Arabidopsis thaliana: one gene and its partners. The protein of the gene in region 1 interacts with the protein of each later gene in a pairwise test. Each region holds a gene or a part of one and is shown on either strand. Other genes may lie near its edges.

Region 1 (4,845 bases):
CATGTCGACAACAAAAAAACACTAATAAGTAATAACTGACCTAGAATTAATATTCGGTTAAGTGATTTCTGGCAAACTTTTTTTTTTTTTTTGGTCAGGCCTACAATACTATTTAATTAATTTTTGTCATAACAAAAAACATGATGACCTCACATGTAAACTGAATTTGGTTTTCCGAAGCCCAAAACCTAATTCTTAGTACTTTAGAAGGCCCAATTTATAATAGTTTTTTACTTTGCGTGTGTAGTTTGTAGTAGCTCTTCTTTTAGCATGCTCCATAGAGCTTCTTAAAGGAGCTTCCGGAGTTACAAAGCGGTATATTAACAATCTCCTACATCCAACAAAAGAGCACATGAGATTGCGAAATGTGTAATTGATGATCTTCGACTTCCTTAGTATGTCGCAAGACATTACCGATGTGTAATTGTTGCTCTGTTCCTTACCTTTTTGGCTCTCTCTCTGTTAATGAGTTGTTTTGACAATGGGGCATCGTTGGTTATAATAAAAGACGATAAAAAGCTCTCCTTTTAGCATGCTCAAAGTATTTCCGAGTCCAAGACACATTATGAAGATAAGAGTATTTACTAAATTCATATAAAAATAGTTGGAAAGATAAAAGTAAATAGTAGTTCTAGAACTAGTAGCTTATTATATATAGTAGTCGACTGTTTCATAAGCTACAAACTTCATGCACTAAAGTAAAAAGTTGGTTGCATTACTTAGGAAACTAAAGACAGACAAGAGCAGAGGAAGAGGAAAGAAACCTCCTCATTCTTCATTTCAAACCAACGAAACAACATATATCTAAAAAAAGTTAACATGAAATGTCGAAAGAAAGACTTACTACCTTTATAACTCCTCTCACTCCATCCTTTTACGTTTGTTTTTCAGTTTTGAAAACATTTGCTCGATATCTGCAGAAGTTATCGCCTTTGATGGCCCAGCAGACTCCTACAAAACCAACAACGAATCAAGTCTTTTTAAATGAAGTGGTTCCTGAGAATTGTAATCAAATTTCTTTCATAGATGGTGACAATATATACCATTAAACCCTGGAGTCCGTCTTGGAAGTCTTTGATTCCGTGAAGGAGCTCAACTTTGGATACGTGGTCTAGATTATTCAGAAGATCAAGTGCTTCACCTTCTTGTTTCTCCAGTTTCTCTGTTCTTTTTTCCTTCGCCTTCTTCTCGTATTCAACAATTGTGTCCTCTGCATCAAGTAGATAGCTTACCTTTCTCTGCTTATACATCTCAAGGCACTTTTCGCATCTGCATAGGATGTTCCTCCAGTTTTTGGTCAAAAACAAAGGTTTCTTCTCAAACTCAGGACACGAGTTTAGATCAGTCCTAATAACACAACCAGCTGCAGGAACATTTTCAGAGCCATCGATCTTCTCAGAACATTTCCGCACAACGAATTTCTCGGCTTCAGTACTGTTCTCAGGCTGGCCGGCTTCAGATTCATCGATCTTCTCAGAACATTTTTGCACAACAGATTTCTCGGCTTCAGTGCCGTTCTCAGGCTGGCCAGGTTCTGAGTCACTGATCGTCTCAGAACATTTTCCTACAACAGATTTCTCAGCATCAGTACCGTTCTCTGGCTGGCCGGGTTCAGAATCCATGTGGTTTTTGTCTAACTCAATTGTCTCTGAACAAGCATTAGCAGAACCAGTGGAATCTACTTTAGCAACAACCCACAAGTTCTCAGGATAAAGTGTCAGAAACGAACATGCTGGGGAGCAGTTTTGACAAATGAAATCTTCATAGATCGGCTCACTTTCCTCATCCCTTGGAATCTGTTAACATCACATAACAAATTGCACTAAGCGCCAACAACAAAAAAAATCAATCGTAAACAACAAGATTAAGCACTGGCCACAAACCTGGCTACCAACACTGTCTGAAGGTGTGAGACCGAGATGCTCCTCATGAAACCAATCCTCACAGAGACAACACTGAATCATCTCTACTTGTTCTTCCACATTTGGGTCAGGGTAAGGTCGGTCGCAAGTGCAGTACAAGCCTTTGAAATTATGGTTGTAAGAATTTTCAGAGTTTTCTATATCTTTGCTCGGGAGAAGCTTACAAGCCAAAGTTCCAAACTTTGAGTTCCCGCAATCACATCGAAAATTTCTCTTAGTCCACAGCTCCAAAAGCTTCATAACCAGAACAATGTTCAACCATTAGGAAACCAATTAACACTATGAAATCAGATTTCAAAATACATAACCTGGCTATATATCAACCATATTTACCTCATGGCCATCATGACAAGATAAGCAACAAGCAGTGCAAATTCCAGCATTCCCCTCTGGTGTACATGTAATGCATGAGAAAATTGCTTGCCTTTTCATGTAACCCTTTGGGAAAGTACACTCATCTCCTTCATCTCCACCCAACACCAAATCCGCTGCCTTAACATCAAGAATCACAAAAGCAGTTAATGAATATTAAACCCCTAAACCCAAATAACATAGGATTACAGAAACAGATACACACTACTGAAATTAATAGAAACTAATTAAGAGACACACACTATCATTACTAGCTAGCCAAAACCTCAGAGACTGTACAATAACAATCCAACACACTCCACTAGCTTCAGAAAAGGTAGTCAATTTAAGGTCAGAATCCAATTTCAAGACGTTTGTTTACACTTAAATCTAAACGATTTATCACCAACCAAGGAGTGAAAATGTGGAAGAGTATTAAACTTTCGTAAGGATCAGAAACATACATAAGCTTTAAAACTGATCAAGAGGAGAAAGAGAACATTACCAGCTCTTCTGCGTCAAGCCTTTCGATATATTCATTGATCGTTATAGTTCCTTCAGCTTCATCCTCGAAAACACCAGATGCCATTGTCGCAATTATTCTTCACAAATTCCCACCTGAATTCACTACTAAAAACATGAAATTGGGTAAAATAAAAGCTATTCGAAAGACTCAAACGAGATATTCCCTAAATTCCTTAAAAAAAATGAAACCCTAGATTATTCGCAAAACATCAAACATGTCAATCGGACCATTACCAGGTTATTGATGGAGTTCTCAGACTTGTAAAAGCCCTAAAGCTTTTCACTTTTCAAGACATAGATAAACGAAGGCAGAGAGAGAGAGAAATTGGGGAAAACGAAGGTGGAGCTTAAGGGTTTGGAAGAAAGAAGGATCTAGCGGATGTTAAAATTCTTAAATGCGAGAAAATTTATGTATGTTATATAAAGGAAGGGACTTTATCGACATTTTCCCGCCATTAACCCTCCAATTCTATTACCCTTTTCCCTCCACTATCAGCAACTAAGCATAAGCACAAGATAAGTATTGTTACTTGATAATGTACATGTTAATATTAATTTGTATCGAGATTAAACGGATATCAAAATCTCAAATTCTTGCTTATATGGTTTTTTATGAATTGAAAATTTATATTTATTTTTTTGTTTTGATAACTAATGTTTAACAAATATCATATCTGTGTGCAACTAGTCAAATCTATCCACAAACACACATACTAATAGAGTAATAAGCATATTTTTAATTATCGTAGATTAATTGATAACCTCTAAAAAAAAAATTAAATTGGGGGATAAAATATTGATAAAATCTAAAGTTATTTAAATCAAAATCACACACTTTTTGTTTTGTTTCTTGACATCTTAATTATAAAATCTAAATATTGGCTAATATAAATTTCAATTTGGATAATATGACTTTATTGGGCCTAATATGATGATACGTATACGGCCCAATAAGAGGTTGAATATGACTTTGACTTTTTCAGGTTTATGGTCAGTGAGTAGCAACCAATCGCAGTCGTAGTTGAAAGTCTCTATTAACTTCTTCTCCGATCTGAGAAAACGCGTCAGAAGTTTCTCGTTCTACAGATAGAGAGAGAAGAGAACGAGAACGAAGTAGAGAGAGAGAGAGAGAGATCATGTCGCAGCAGAAGAAATACATCTTCCAAGTTGAAGAAGGCAAAGAAGGTAGCGATGGAAGACCATCAGTTGGTCCAGTGTACCGGAGTATCTTTGCCAAGGACGGATTTCCCGACCCGATCGAAGGAATGGATAGTTGTTGGGATGTTTTCCGGTGAGATTTCTCGTTTAACCGATCGGAGTTTGTGTTGCATGAGCCTCGTTTCCGATTCTTGCTGAGATTTTGATCCTTGATCTGTTGACTGATCATGGAATTTGTTCTGACTTGCGTTTTTTGCTCTTTATGGATTCTCAAGTAGTAAGAATCGTATAGTTTAATTTCGTCTAGTGTTTATCTGGATTTGATTCATGTTTGTTTAAGTTTTTCGGATCGCAAGATCTACCTAAGTTGCTCTAATCGATAGAAATATAATTTGTTGGTTAATGATTTTGCCATTTGTCTATAATAACATCGTTTTGAGTGGCATGTGATTAATTAACAGTTGCATGAATTTGGTTGACATTTTTTGTTTTGCTTTGTGTGTGGTTTGGTGATATTTTGTGGTTGTTGACTTACATTTTTCTACTGTTATTGTTTATTGCAGCATGTCTGTTGAGAAGTATCCAAACAATCCAATGCTGGGACGCCGCGAGATTGTAGATGGAAAGGTGTTGTTACTGTTTGTTATTGATTTTGATTTTGTGATTTTCGTTTCATGTTATTATAAAATTCACTTGTTATTTTGATTGTTCTTAGCCGGGTAAGTATGTCTGGCAAACATACCAAGAAGTCTACGACATTGTCATGAAACTTGGAAATTCTCTCAGAAGTGTTGGAGTTAAGGACGTAAGATCCATCTTTTTCCTTTCAGATATCTATATTCAGTCTCATTATTTCCTTTTTTTGTCGCAATGTGATTATTCCCTTGCT
Region 2 (6,640 bases), on another chromosome or scaffold:
AATGATTCATGCGGTTCCAAACGCCAATTGATGGATGTTCTACCAAATTTAATCTACTTTTACCAAACCATGACAAATATGAATAAACATTACTTGATAATAATTTTGTGAGTGAACAAACTTTTTTTTTTTCGAAACCAAACCAAGCTGAAAAAAACTCAACGATTTTCTTTGTTTAAAATACGTTAGAAAGGAATATGTATTATGCCGAAATAAGTAATATCGATCAGGCCACCTCTCTTATAGTTATTCTCCTAGCAACTTTAACCACTAGAAGGTTTTGTTTTCTAGTGTTTTCTAATATACGTCATCAAAATTTTCAAAAAATACTACATTTTTGTTTTAAAAACTTCCATAATTCCATTACTCGTAGAACACAAACGCAAACCATATTAATATTTTGTTGTCAACAAAAATTTCAAATTATAATTCAACTATATTTGCTTGATTACCCAATTAGATAGAAAAGAGTTAAAGAAGAAAAGAAAAGAGTTTACAGTAAATTAACGCAAACCATAATTATATTTAACACCGTATTAATCACATCAACCATATGACTTTTTTACCGTTTGCAACTTCATAATTCATATAGTATCATAATAAATTCGCAATAATACAACACAAGAGTTTCGTCGGAAGAGTAAATAATACTCAAATAGGGGGTGAGTGATACGAGCCACATGTATTCTTGAAGGGTAGATTATTGCAAACTTGGAGTAATAAAGAGAAGAAGAATGGGTTTGTAGTAGTTGCGTGGAGTATCTTTATTTGGGTAAAACTTTAATTTAGAAATAAAATTCTGTACGGACAATGGATCGTGTCCCAATCAGATTTCTTGTGGCTGCTTCGGGTCTGGTTTTGGGTCCCTTTGAAAAATTTTAGTGGTCGACACTTTTTATTTTACTCTGGCTCGTGCCTCGAGGGTCCCTCTATTCACTGTTTCTTCGTATGAAGGTATGCTTAAACATTATTTTATTTTTAAAAACCCTTTAATTTTATTTTCTTACCTTTAATCACGGTTTTGTAAATTGCTTTTTAGTCTATGGAATGATGATTGTGGCGATTGAAATCATATGTTTGGTTCTGTTGTTGACGTTGGTGAAGTATATGTGATTTGTAATGTTGAGCTTATGTATTAAAATGTTAAATGATAAATAACCTCGTAAGAAAGTGATTTCATTTAAATTTTATTTTGAGTTACATATTCAATTGGTTTTATAAAAAAATACTTCAGTGATGATTGATACCCCCATTGTGTGTGTAATTGTTACTGGGATTGAACAAAATTTATTTGTGCATGACAAACTTTCCAAATTAGTGCATAGATTGTAATTGTATAATGGACTACATGTATCTGAGTAGATATGGTTCATTAGGTTACAAACCTCTTTTTTTAAGGACACAATTTTTCGACAAGTTATATGCCACATGATTGACTACTAAATTTTCAAAAATTATTGCACTAATGTCTTTGAAATTAACAAATTATTTTGTCATTTCCGAGTTGGATTCTTACAAACCAAGGCCGAACTCACAAACTTATTTCTTTCAGTAAAAACAAAACATTGTCCTCAGAAAAATTCTGAAATGTCATCTTCCCAAATGTTTTTACATAAATAAAAATAATATACAGTTGATATTATTTTGTTCTTTCTGAATTTTGTTATGAGGTACCATTACCATATAGTACGTAGATTTACAAAAATGAAAATACGTTGTAGCCCTTGATGTTCTTCAGGTCTTCTAGTTAGTTTTTGCAGTAAATACCAACCAATTAGTTACAAGGAGTATAAGTGAACAAAGTGAGACAACTCATTTTATGCTTCCCTATAAAAAGAAATTCCCCACTGACCCAAACACACACTTCTCTTCTCTCTCTCATCTCATTGGAGACTTATAAATCCTATTACCTCACCATATCCAATAACCACCACACACAGACCAATATCCAAAAAAAAAACTAAAACTAAAAATATAATATATATCGTTTTCTTTCCAAAAATAATCATTTAAGAAACCCCATCATCTTGATAGTATTATAAAATTAATAAACCTCTCCCTGAAAATATCTCATCCTTCACCAATCAAAACCTTCTCATGTCTTCTTCTCTCCTCGACCTTTGAGGTGGAAAATTAAATATATTCCCTTAGCTTTTTTTCTCCTTTAGTTTTCTTCTTCTTCTTGAGTTTTTTTTCTTTTGATCCTCTCTAATTTCCTTGTTGATTCATCGACTAGATCTAATTCTTCTCACAAAAGACTGAGTGTGTTCTTTCTTTCAAATCTTTCAAAAACTAGGGTTTTTACTGTCTTGAAATCATATTTATTCTTCTAAATTTAGCAAAAAGAACACGATTTACTTTCCATTTCAGTCGTCTTGTCACTCTCTCTCTCTTCTTTAAAGTCTCCCTTTTTAGCAAAAATTCTCTCTCTCACAAAATTTATTTCCTCTGGCTTCTTCTTCCTCCTCCTCCATCTCTTCTCTTTACTCTCTCTTTAATCATCTCTCATTCTTGAATCTTGATCCATCAAAATCAATCCCGTTCTCGAAAGATCCATTAAAATCAAAACCTAAGCTCTCTCTCTTGCTTCTAGGGTTTTTTTGTTCGTTGTGATGGCGAGAGAAAAGATTCAGATCAGGAAGATCGACAACGCAACGGCGAGACAAGTGACGTTTTCGAAACGAAGAAGAGGGCTTTTCAAGAAAGCTGAAGAACTCTCCGTTCTCTGCGACGCCGATGTCGCTCTCATCATCTTCTCTTCCACCGGAAAACTGTTCGAGTTCTGTAGCTCCAGGTCTTTCTTTCTCTCTCTAACTTCCCTCTCTATAGATTTCTCATAACTCATCGAAGGAATCTTGTCTAGATCCAGACAAAAAACTTTAAAGAGTTTTTAGATGTATATCTGATACATAGGAGTTTACTGTATCAATCTTTATAGGACCACTAACTATTTATATAATTAAAATAGTTGTTAGAAACATTAATCATGACCATAAATGACATATATAAAGTGTATAGTAAAACTCTGTATTTAGATAAATTAAGGTATCTAACTACGGTAATATTCAAAAAGATGTAAATCTGGATATGCATATATGTATATTATTAGTATATAAATACATGCTCTATAGTAGGTATTTGTGTCAACCATGTATAAATCTATGTATATAGATATTGTGGTATGATATGTTTAAGCCGTCAATGTCATATTTATATAGAAATATGTGGGTACCATAACATGAGGAAGTATCTATATGTGTGGATGTATAAAGCTTTCCCTTTGAAGAAGTAATCTAAAAATAATATATATATATATATGTATATGTATAGATATGTTGGAATCTTTATTAGTGTTGGGAAAAGTCATTTAGAGAGATATTATTGATATTAGGGATCTAAAATGACTTATCGTATTACAGAGATACGATTTTGGATTTTTGACCCACTAGTTATCAGCTCAGTTCCTATCTTCGGGGACATACACACTTTCACAGATAATTGTGTATATATGTAACTGAAAACGATAGTGTTAACATGAAATAATGTACATGTTTGGGATTAAATGTGTTTTGTGGATTTGGTTTGCATCTTTTGATTTTAGATTTTGGTATATTGTCGGTGTTTACATATGCACATTGTTAATATCAACAGTATAGTTGTTTATAATAAGTTATTTATTGGAATGTGTTTATATTATGAAGCATGAAGGAAGTCCTAGAGAGGCATAACTTGCAGTCAAAGAACTTGGAGAAGCTTGATCAGCCATCTCTTGAGTTACAGGTTAGCTACATTCTCGAAACGACCACACATTTTCTTTCCCGATTTCTGTAACTTGCAAAATCGAGTATTACTCCGTTGAATTACCAATATGTTTTAGATTGTTGTATTTATTGACCAAGAATCTCTTAAAACTTTGTATTAATAGGTACAAAACTTTATATTATTGCATATGATTAATTAGACTCGATCCATGTAGTAGTCATGTAGAGTAGTCCTGTGTAGAGAGTTGAGCTTTAGATCATTATGGATATGATTAAGAGCTTAAATCAATGTTTTATTCTGTTAGCTGGTTGAGAACAGTGATCACGCCCGAATGAGTAAAGAAATTGCGGACAAGAGCCACCGACTAAGGTACGTTATATATGTATATTCTATGACTTTTGAACTAACTATCATTTTCTAACTAATTTTTTTTTTGATCAACCACTATCATTTTCTAACTGTGTGTTTACATGATCATATATAGGCAAATGAGAGGAGAGGAACTTCAAGGACTTGACATTGAAGAGCTTCAGCAGCTAGAGAAGGCCCTTGAAACTGGTTTGACGCGTGTGATTGAAACAAAGGTTGTTAAGAAAATTACTTGATACCATGTATAAGTTTCTCTAAGCTTACGAGTATGCAATTTACTAATACGAGATGTGTTTGCAGAGTGACAAGATTATGAGTGAGATCAGCGAACTTCAGAAAAAGGTAATAATTAACCAAAATAACGTTTATTCTTTACTTGATGATTTCAATATTAATTTTGGCAGTTTCAAGATCCAAAATTTTCATCTTCTTCTCTTTTTTTTTGGTGTTCAGGGAATGCAATTGATGGATGAGAACAAGCGGTTGAGGCAGCAAGTATGTGTCTTACCCTCTCTGTTGATAACAAATCCCTTTCTTTTGTCTACCATTAACGTACACACCCCTAAATTTAATCCCCAGTTGTCTACAACACATATGTTTGATCATACTGTGAGATAAATGAATAAACCAAGTGATATAGCGCGATTTAAAAATGTCTTTAAAACTAAAGGTAACCATGTAGCTAGTTAGTCTCTAGGGTCCTAGAGGTCTACGAGTGTGCATGCATGGATTTGGTGCGTTTTTTCTTTTTCATCTTCATTTTGTTTTTTGAAACAGGGAACCATAAACGAATATATATCTAATTCTTGTTTGATATATAGTTTGGTCGAGGCTTCATGTCAAGATTTGCTCATTCGTAGTTAGTTGATCTCTAGAGAAATTCAAAACACATGGTGCCACTAAAAACACAAAATGCAAATACTTAGCTAGAGAACTTAATGATATGTTTTGTCTTGATTTTTGCAGGGAACGCAACTAACGGAAGAGAACGAGCGACTTGGCATGCAAGTACGTGGATATATATATAGTCTTGATTATTTTGAATTTTGTATGTTTGTTATCAGTTTAATGTTAAATTTGGAATATTTTTTTTTGGTTACGTGTAGATATGTAACAATGTGCATGCACACGGTGGTGCTGAATCGGAGAACGCTGCTGTGTACGAGGAAGGACAGTCGTCGGAGTCTATTACTAACGCCGGAAACTCTACCGGAGCGCCTGTTGACTCCGAGAGCTCCGACACTTCCCTTAGGCTCGGGTAACCAATTAATCACCCTTTCTTTTTACATTCTTTTGAGTTGATAGCTTTACATGATTTTTTTTTTGTTTTTAAATTGAGACAAAGAATATAAAAATATATACTTTAAACGACCATATACATGTATGTTGTCCATATTTATTGGCATTGCAAGATATGGATGACACAGAATCGTAAATAAATTTGGTTTATTTGTTGTATATTTGTAATTCTAACAAATAACATGTTATTTTGTATATTTTACATGATATCATGCTATTTGTTAAAATTACCTGTCATAAAAAACACCACTTATTTATGGTTTGTTTTTTGAAAATTCTGGCACAAATCTAATCATCTACAAAATCACTCTAAAAAATAAGTTATTGATTTAATGTATGGTGTTGTGCAGCTTACCGTATGGTGGTTAGAGATGGAACAATTCAAAGAAGTTGATGGAGTGAGGAGAGTAATGTAAATCTTTTTAACTCGGTAGTAACAAGAGACAATGTCTAAGTAGTGAATTCTCAAATGTTTGTGTAAGTTTCTGCCTATGGAAGAGGCTTTCATTTTTATGATTTTCACTATGTATGATCTCTCTTCACTGCATTTCTGGTTAGTAACGCTTGTCACCGATAAACTTTCTCGTTATGGAAAGTTAGAATATAAAATATTGTAGAATTTTGATTATCGATATACTCTTGGTTAGGGATCAAAAATATATTTTAGTGATGCCTCAAATAACTAATAATCATCATAGGACTCAGTCTCATTAGAAATTTTAGTGTAACAAAAGTGTGATTCGAATTCATCTTGTTGTTTTGTTGAATTTGTTGCAAAGTTTTACAAGTTTTCTCAGACCAGAGATTTCAAGTGTCTTCATTGGTGATGATTCTGGTGAATTGATGATCTTACTTGTGTGTGTGACACTTGCAATGTGTCTTGTTTGAGAAACACATTTGTAGTTTAGTTGGAGCTGTGCGGTTGGATGAGACTGAGTTCTATGATAATAAATTAGAAGCAAAGTTTCAAACCATATTCATACGATTCATTATGTTAGCAACAAGAAATATGAATATGGTTTGAAACTTTGCTTCTAATTCATCATTCGTTACACAACGTCCAAAATCTAAAAAAGTTTCAGATTTTCTCAAAATTCAGTAAATGGGCCTCTATATAATGAGGTTTGACGTTTTAGAGATACTTTGCACAAGAAAGAAGGTTCTGGTCGGATCGTTACACACCGACCTTTGACCGGTTCATCAAAACGTG
Region 3 (3,583 bases), on another chromosome or scaffold:
CAGATTCAAACCAGGTACGGTTCCTGATAGACCCCCAAGACATAGTGACACTGTCTATATAAATTGAGTCGATAGGCTCTCTGGATTTGTTCTTAACTTTCCCAGTGACGTTTACCTTTTGGGATTGATCTCATGCGTGTGCTTAGTCGCATGTTTTATCTTTAAGATTCGTAGTTTGATAGTGAAGGAAGCAGTAGCAAGTGTAATAGTTGAAACTTGAGTACCTTTTTAAAACGATTTAGTACTGGTCTTGTTCAAGAAAAGTATCTTTGATTCTCTGCCTAATTTTTCCACATATATATCTCCTCTTTGTGTTTTAAATTGAAAATTGATGCTCGAGACGATGCTAAGCAAGAGACAACAATGCAATTTGGTTATGTGGAAAATGACTTCGCGAACTCGACCTTTCCTTTATCCTAAAACACTAAGAGAATGTGAAATATTCTTTTGTAATATCTAATGCCCCGTGGTGGATTTGTCTACAACTACTATGTTGCATTGTTATATGTGGGTTTGTAACAAATAACTCAACTACTTTTACTTATAATGAGAGCAGGATTCTTTATTAACACTTAAAACATATAAAAACCACATGAAACCATAAAAAACAACACCGGTATACTTAAAAAACAAAAACACATGAAACCAAAACACCGAGACAACAACAAAAAAACAGAAACAACACCAATCACTTGTTTGACGATTACATAAAGAAAATAAGAATCTCTCTGCAGAGCCTCCATAGCTAGTGAGGTCCTATGGACTTGGAGGAAGAGGAGCTGAATCCATTGTTTCGGAACGAGAAAGCACACAAAAATGAAGCTTAGATTCAGAACGATCCCAATACATTCCAATCACATCGCCAACCTGCAAACCTCTTCTGTCGACAAAGCACTTACGCCATCCGCTGACGAGAACAAAGCTTGAAGATTTGGCCCATTTCTTAAGAGCCAGATTGTGCACAGAGTCAGTGTCGTGATCATACACCTCGACTGCTAATCCAGAGTCTTCTTTGACCATCATTTGATCATCCAAAGGGAGATATCTCAGAATGTGGATGTCTACAAAGCTCGCCTTTAGAACAAGACGGTATAGGTTGCCAATACTGCTTTTGGTCATTGCCATCTTCAAGGTCCATGGGTCAGCGACGGTGAGGAGAGTTAGTTCTGTCGAGACGTAGTACTTCTCCTCTTCTTTTCTTGCTCTCTTCGACATAGTCCTCATCCACGCCAGGTTTATTGCTTCTTCGGACGTTGGTTTATTGTAAGCAACATTGGGATCATGTGGCCATGTTTTGTCATAGAAACACAGATCCAGGGAGACCAAACTCTCTTCAGCGTTTTCTGGTGACTCCGTGTCCAACAAGCAATGAGTATTTGAGACTGAGTTGGGAGCCATATCCAAGACTGAAGCAAAGTGAAAAACCTGACCAAAGGATCAAAACTCTTTTCTTTAGTCATATATTTTTTTTAGTAAATAAATGGTTTCTGAAAAGCGTTTCTTAAATTTTACATTTACAAATATTTTCATATTTTATGACTAAAAAAAAAAAATCAGATCGATATGAAATAATTTAAGAATATGTCCAGAACATCTATATTGATTCAAATATTAGGGATTCTCCTGTATATCTGGCCAAGATCGCTAGTGGTTAGTACCTTTTTGATGATCCACGGATCCTTGAAGAGTGTTAGTTCTGTTGAGACACCGTACCATTCGTCCTCTGCCTTTTCTTGATACGAGAGATTCCTCATTCGTGCAATCTTTCTTTCTACTTGTGTTAATTTGTAGTCTCTTGGTATGCAAGAAATATTGAGAACTTCGTCAGAGTTCATCTTCCTCTTATTAGGGTTTTCACAAGACGACAAAGAAAGAGTTGTGGAGACCAAACTCTTTTTAGAGTTTTCCGATGACTCGTCGTGGAACAAGTATTGAGTCTTCGACGCAGAAAAGGGAGGAGGCATCTTCATTGCCGAGGATTGGAGGTCTTGGGGTAATTTTTGCAGATTTTGGATCATTCTCGTTCGATTCTCAAGATGTCGTCGAGAGTTTCTTTATCTTAGACTCAAGTTCAGAGAGCTAAGGGAACGTAGATATATAAATAATTTAGTAGCCACCTTTGCCTTAACTTTTTCAGGTATTTTCCTGTTTAAAAAAGGAAATCCATTTGTTATAGAAAAAAGGAAAATGATTTATGTGAAAACTGAATATTACCTTTGTAGTTATTTTTATTCTGCGTTTGAACTATGAAGCTGTTAATTTTCCATTTCTTAGGGTTTGGGTTTCCTATGAAGATGAGTGTGCGTCTTAGACTTTTGGTGCCAACTATCTCTATTTGCGTGAATCAATGTTCAGATTTAATATGGTTTGTGTTATCATAAGAATTTTATTTCAATATAGATGGTCATTACTATGACAAGAGATATTCAACCTACATGGGCTAGCGAAGCCCACAACATAGCCCAATACAGCTAGTTTTCTTTTTAAAATGCAGTCATGCAGATATGTGTTCAATAAGTTCTGTTTTGTTTTAATGTGAACAAAGAGGGAGGATCGGAGCTTTTTCAACTTATAAGATTTTAAGTTGAATTTGTGAATTAATTGTGGTAAAGATCATTGCAAGAGTGATGAGGACCTACATGAGCATAGATCGTGTTCCGGACAAATCTGCCCGATTCAGAAATCAGAATCCTCATTGGTTAGGCGGACATATCACATATGTAAACGACTTTATCCATGACTAAGCTAGTGTAGGCGTGTAGCCACACAAAAAACTTAAGAATATTGTGGGGTTATTTTTGTAGTATTCATTACCATTTCCAAGAAGTATAGCTACCGATGATTTGTTCACTAGTATAGTGGCCGCTATTGTGTTGTCGTGGCCATGGATATTGACTTGGTAACTAATTTTGTAGCTGGTCACAACATAAAGTTTTGTAACAATTCATATACGTAACATGAATTGTCTCATAAACATACAATACCAATAGAGACTGTGGAAATGCCACCCTCACAAACTGTATATACAGATATGAACTGTTCTATAACTTGCTACATAAAGTACTAGTAAACCAATTGAACCCAAGCACAAGTTACTCCAAAACAATATACAAGTTACTCCGTAACTCAATCTCAGCAAGACGACATTTGCGCAGCTTCTCAAGACTGATGCAACCGTGTGGCTCCACTAAAGCTCTTTTATTGAATCTCATAAAATTCTCTTGTATATGTTCCCTTGTTTTTATACCTTTTTGGCAAAGTAGCAATTATATTTATAGGTCTAACTTCTTGTACGCCCCAACTTTCATTCCTTACTGATATTTACAATTTAGCAACAACAAAAAAAATAAACACAAACAAATATCGATCAAAGCGTTCTGACTAGATCATGTGGTTTAGATCAAAATTAAAGCACTATCGTAACTAAACATACGTAATTTATTATAGTATTACAATGTGTTCATCTAATTGAATAGATGGCATACTAAGTAAAAAAGATGAATGCAACAATCAATGTATATACATAATTCAATAAATACTTAATTAAAAGATATAAATACAAATATAACACTAGGTCAAAGTT

The links.
Region 2: the proteins of AT4G23860 (region 1) and SVP interact in a two-hybrid assay, tested with the Arabidopsis thaliana proteins (one large-scale study listed by BioGRID).
Region 3: the proteins of AT4G23860 (region 1) and AT2G33720 interact in a two-hybrid assay, tested with the Arabidopsis thaliana proteins (one large-scale study listed by BioGRID).

The regions. Positions count from the first base shown.
Region 1 is NC_003075.7:12,407,353-12,412,197, reverse strand, and holds AT4G23860 (PHD finger protein-like protein), read right to left. Parts: upstream 3,192-4,845; 5' UTR 3,033-3,191; intron 2,904-3,032; exon of another isoform or gene 2,901-2,903; 5' UTR 2,863-2,900; coding exon 2,779-2,862; intron 2,665-2,778; exon of another isoform or gene 2,415-2,664; coding exon 2,256-2,414; intron 2,157-2,255; coding exon 1,884-2,156; intron 1,797-1,883; coding exon 1,044-1,796; intron 952-1,043; coding exon 862-951; 3' UTR 520-861; downstream 1-519. Other genes in the region: LACS4 (AMP-dependent synthetase and ligase family protein), read left to right, coding at 3,935-4,089, 4,520-4,583, 4,672-4,761.
Region 2 is NC_003071.7:9,577,805-9,584,444, forward strand, and holds SVP (K-box region and MADS-box transcription factor family protein), read left to right. Parts: upstream 1-1,842; 5' UTR 1,843-2,612; coding exon 2,613-2,794; intron 2,795-3,701; coding exon 3,702-3,780; intron 3,781-4,066; coding exon 4,067-4,131; intron 4,132-4,246; coding exon 4,247-4,346; intron 4,347-4,431; coding exon 4,432-4,473; intron 4,474-4,584; coding exon 4,585-4,626; intron 4,627-5,097; coding exon 5,098-5,139; intron 5,140-5,237; coding exon 5,238-5,389; intron 5,390-5,780; coding exon 5,781-5,799; 3' UTR 5,800-6,097; downstream 6,098-6,640. UniProt on the Arabidopsis thaliana protein: Transcription repressor that inhibit floral transition in the autonomous flowering pathway, independent of photoperiod and temperature. Acts in a dosage-dependent manner.
Region 3 is NC_003071.7:14,262,163-14,265,745, reverse strand, and holds AT2G33720 (AP2/B3-like transcriptional factor family protein), read right to left. Parts: upstream 2,015-3,583; 5' UTR 1,971-2,014; coding exon 1,659-1,970; intron 1,426-1,658; coding exon 757-1,425; 3' UTR 544-756; downstream 1-543. Other genes in the region: AT2G33730 (P-loop containing nucleoside triphosphate hydrolases superfamily protein), read left to right, coding at 1-67.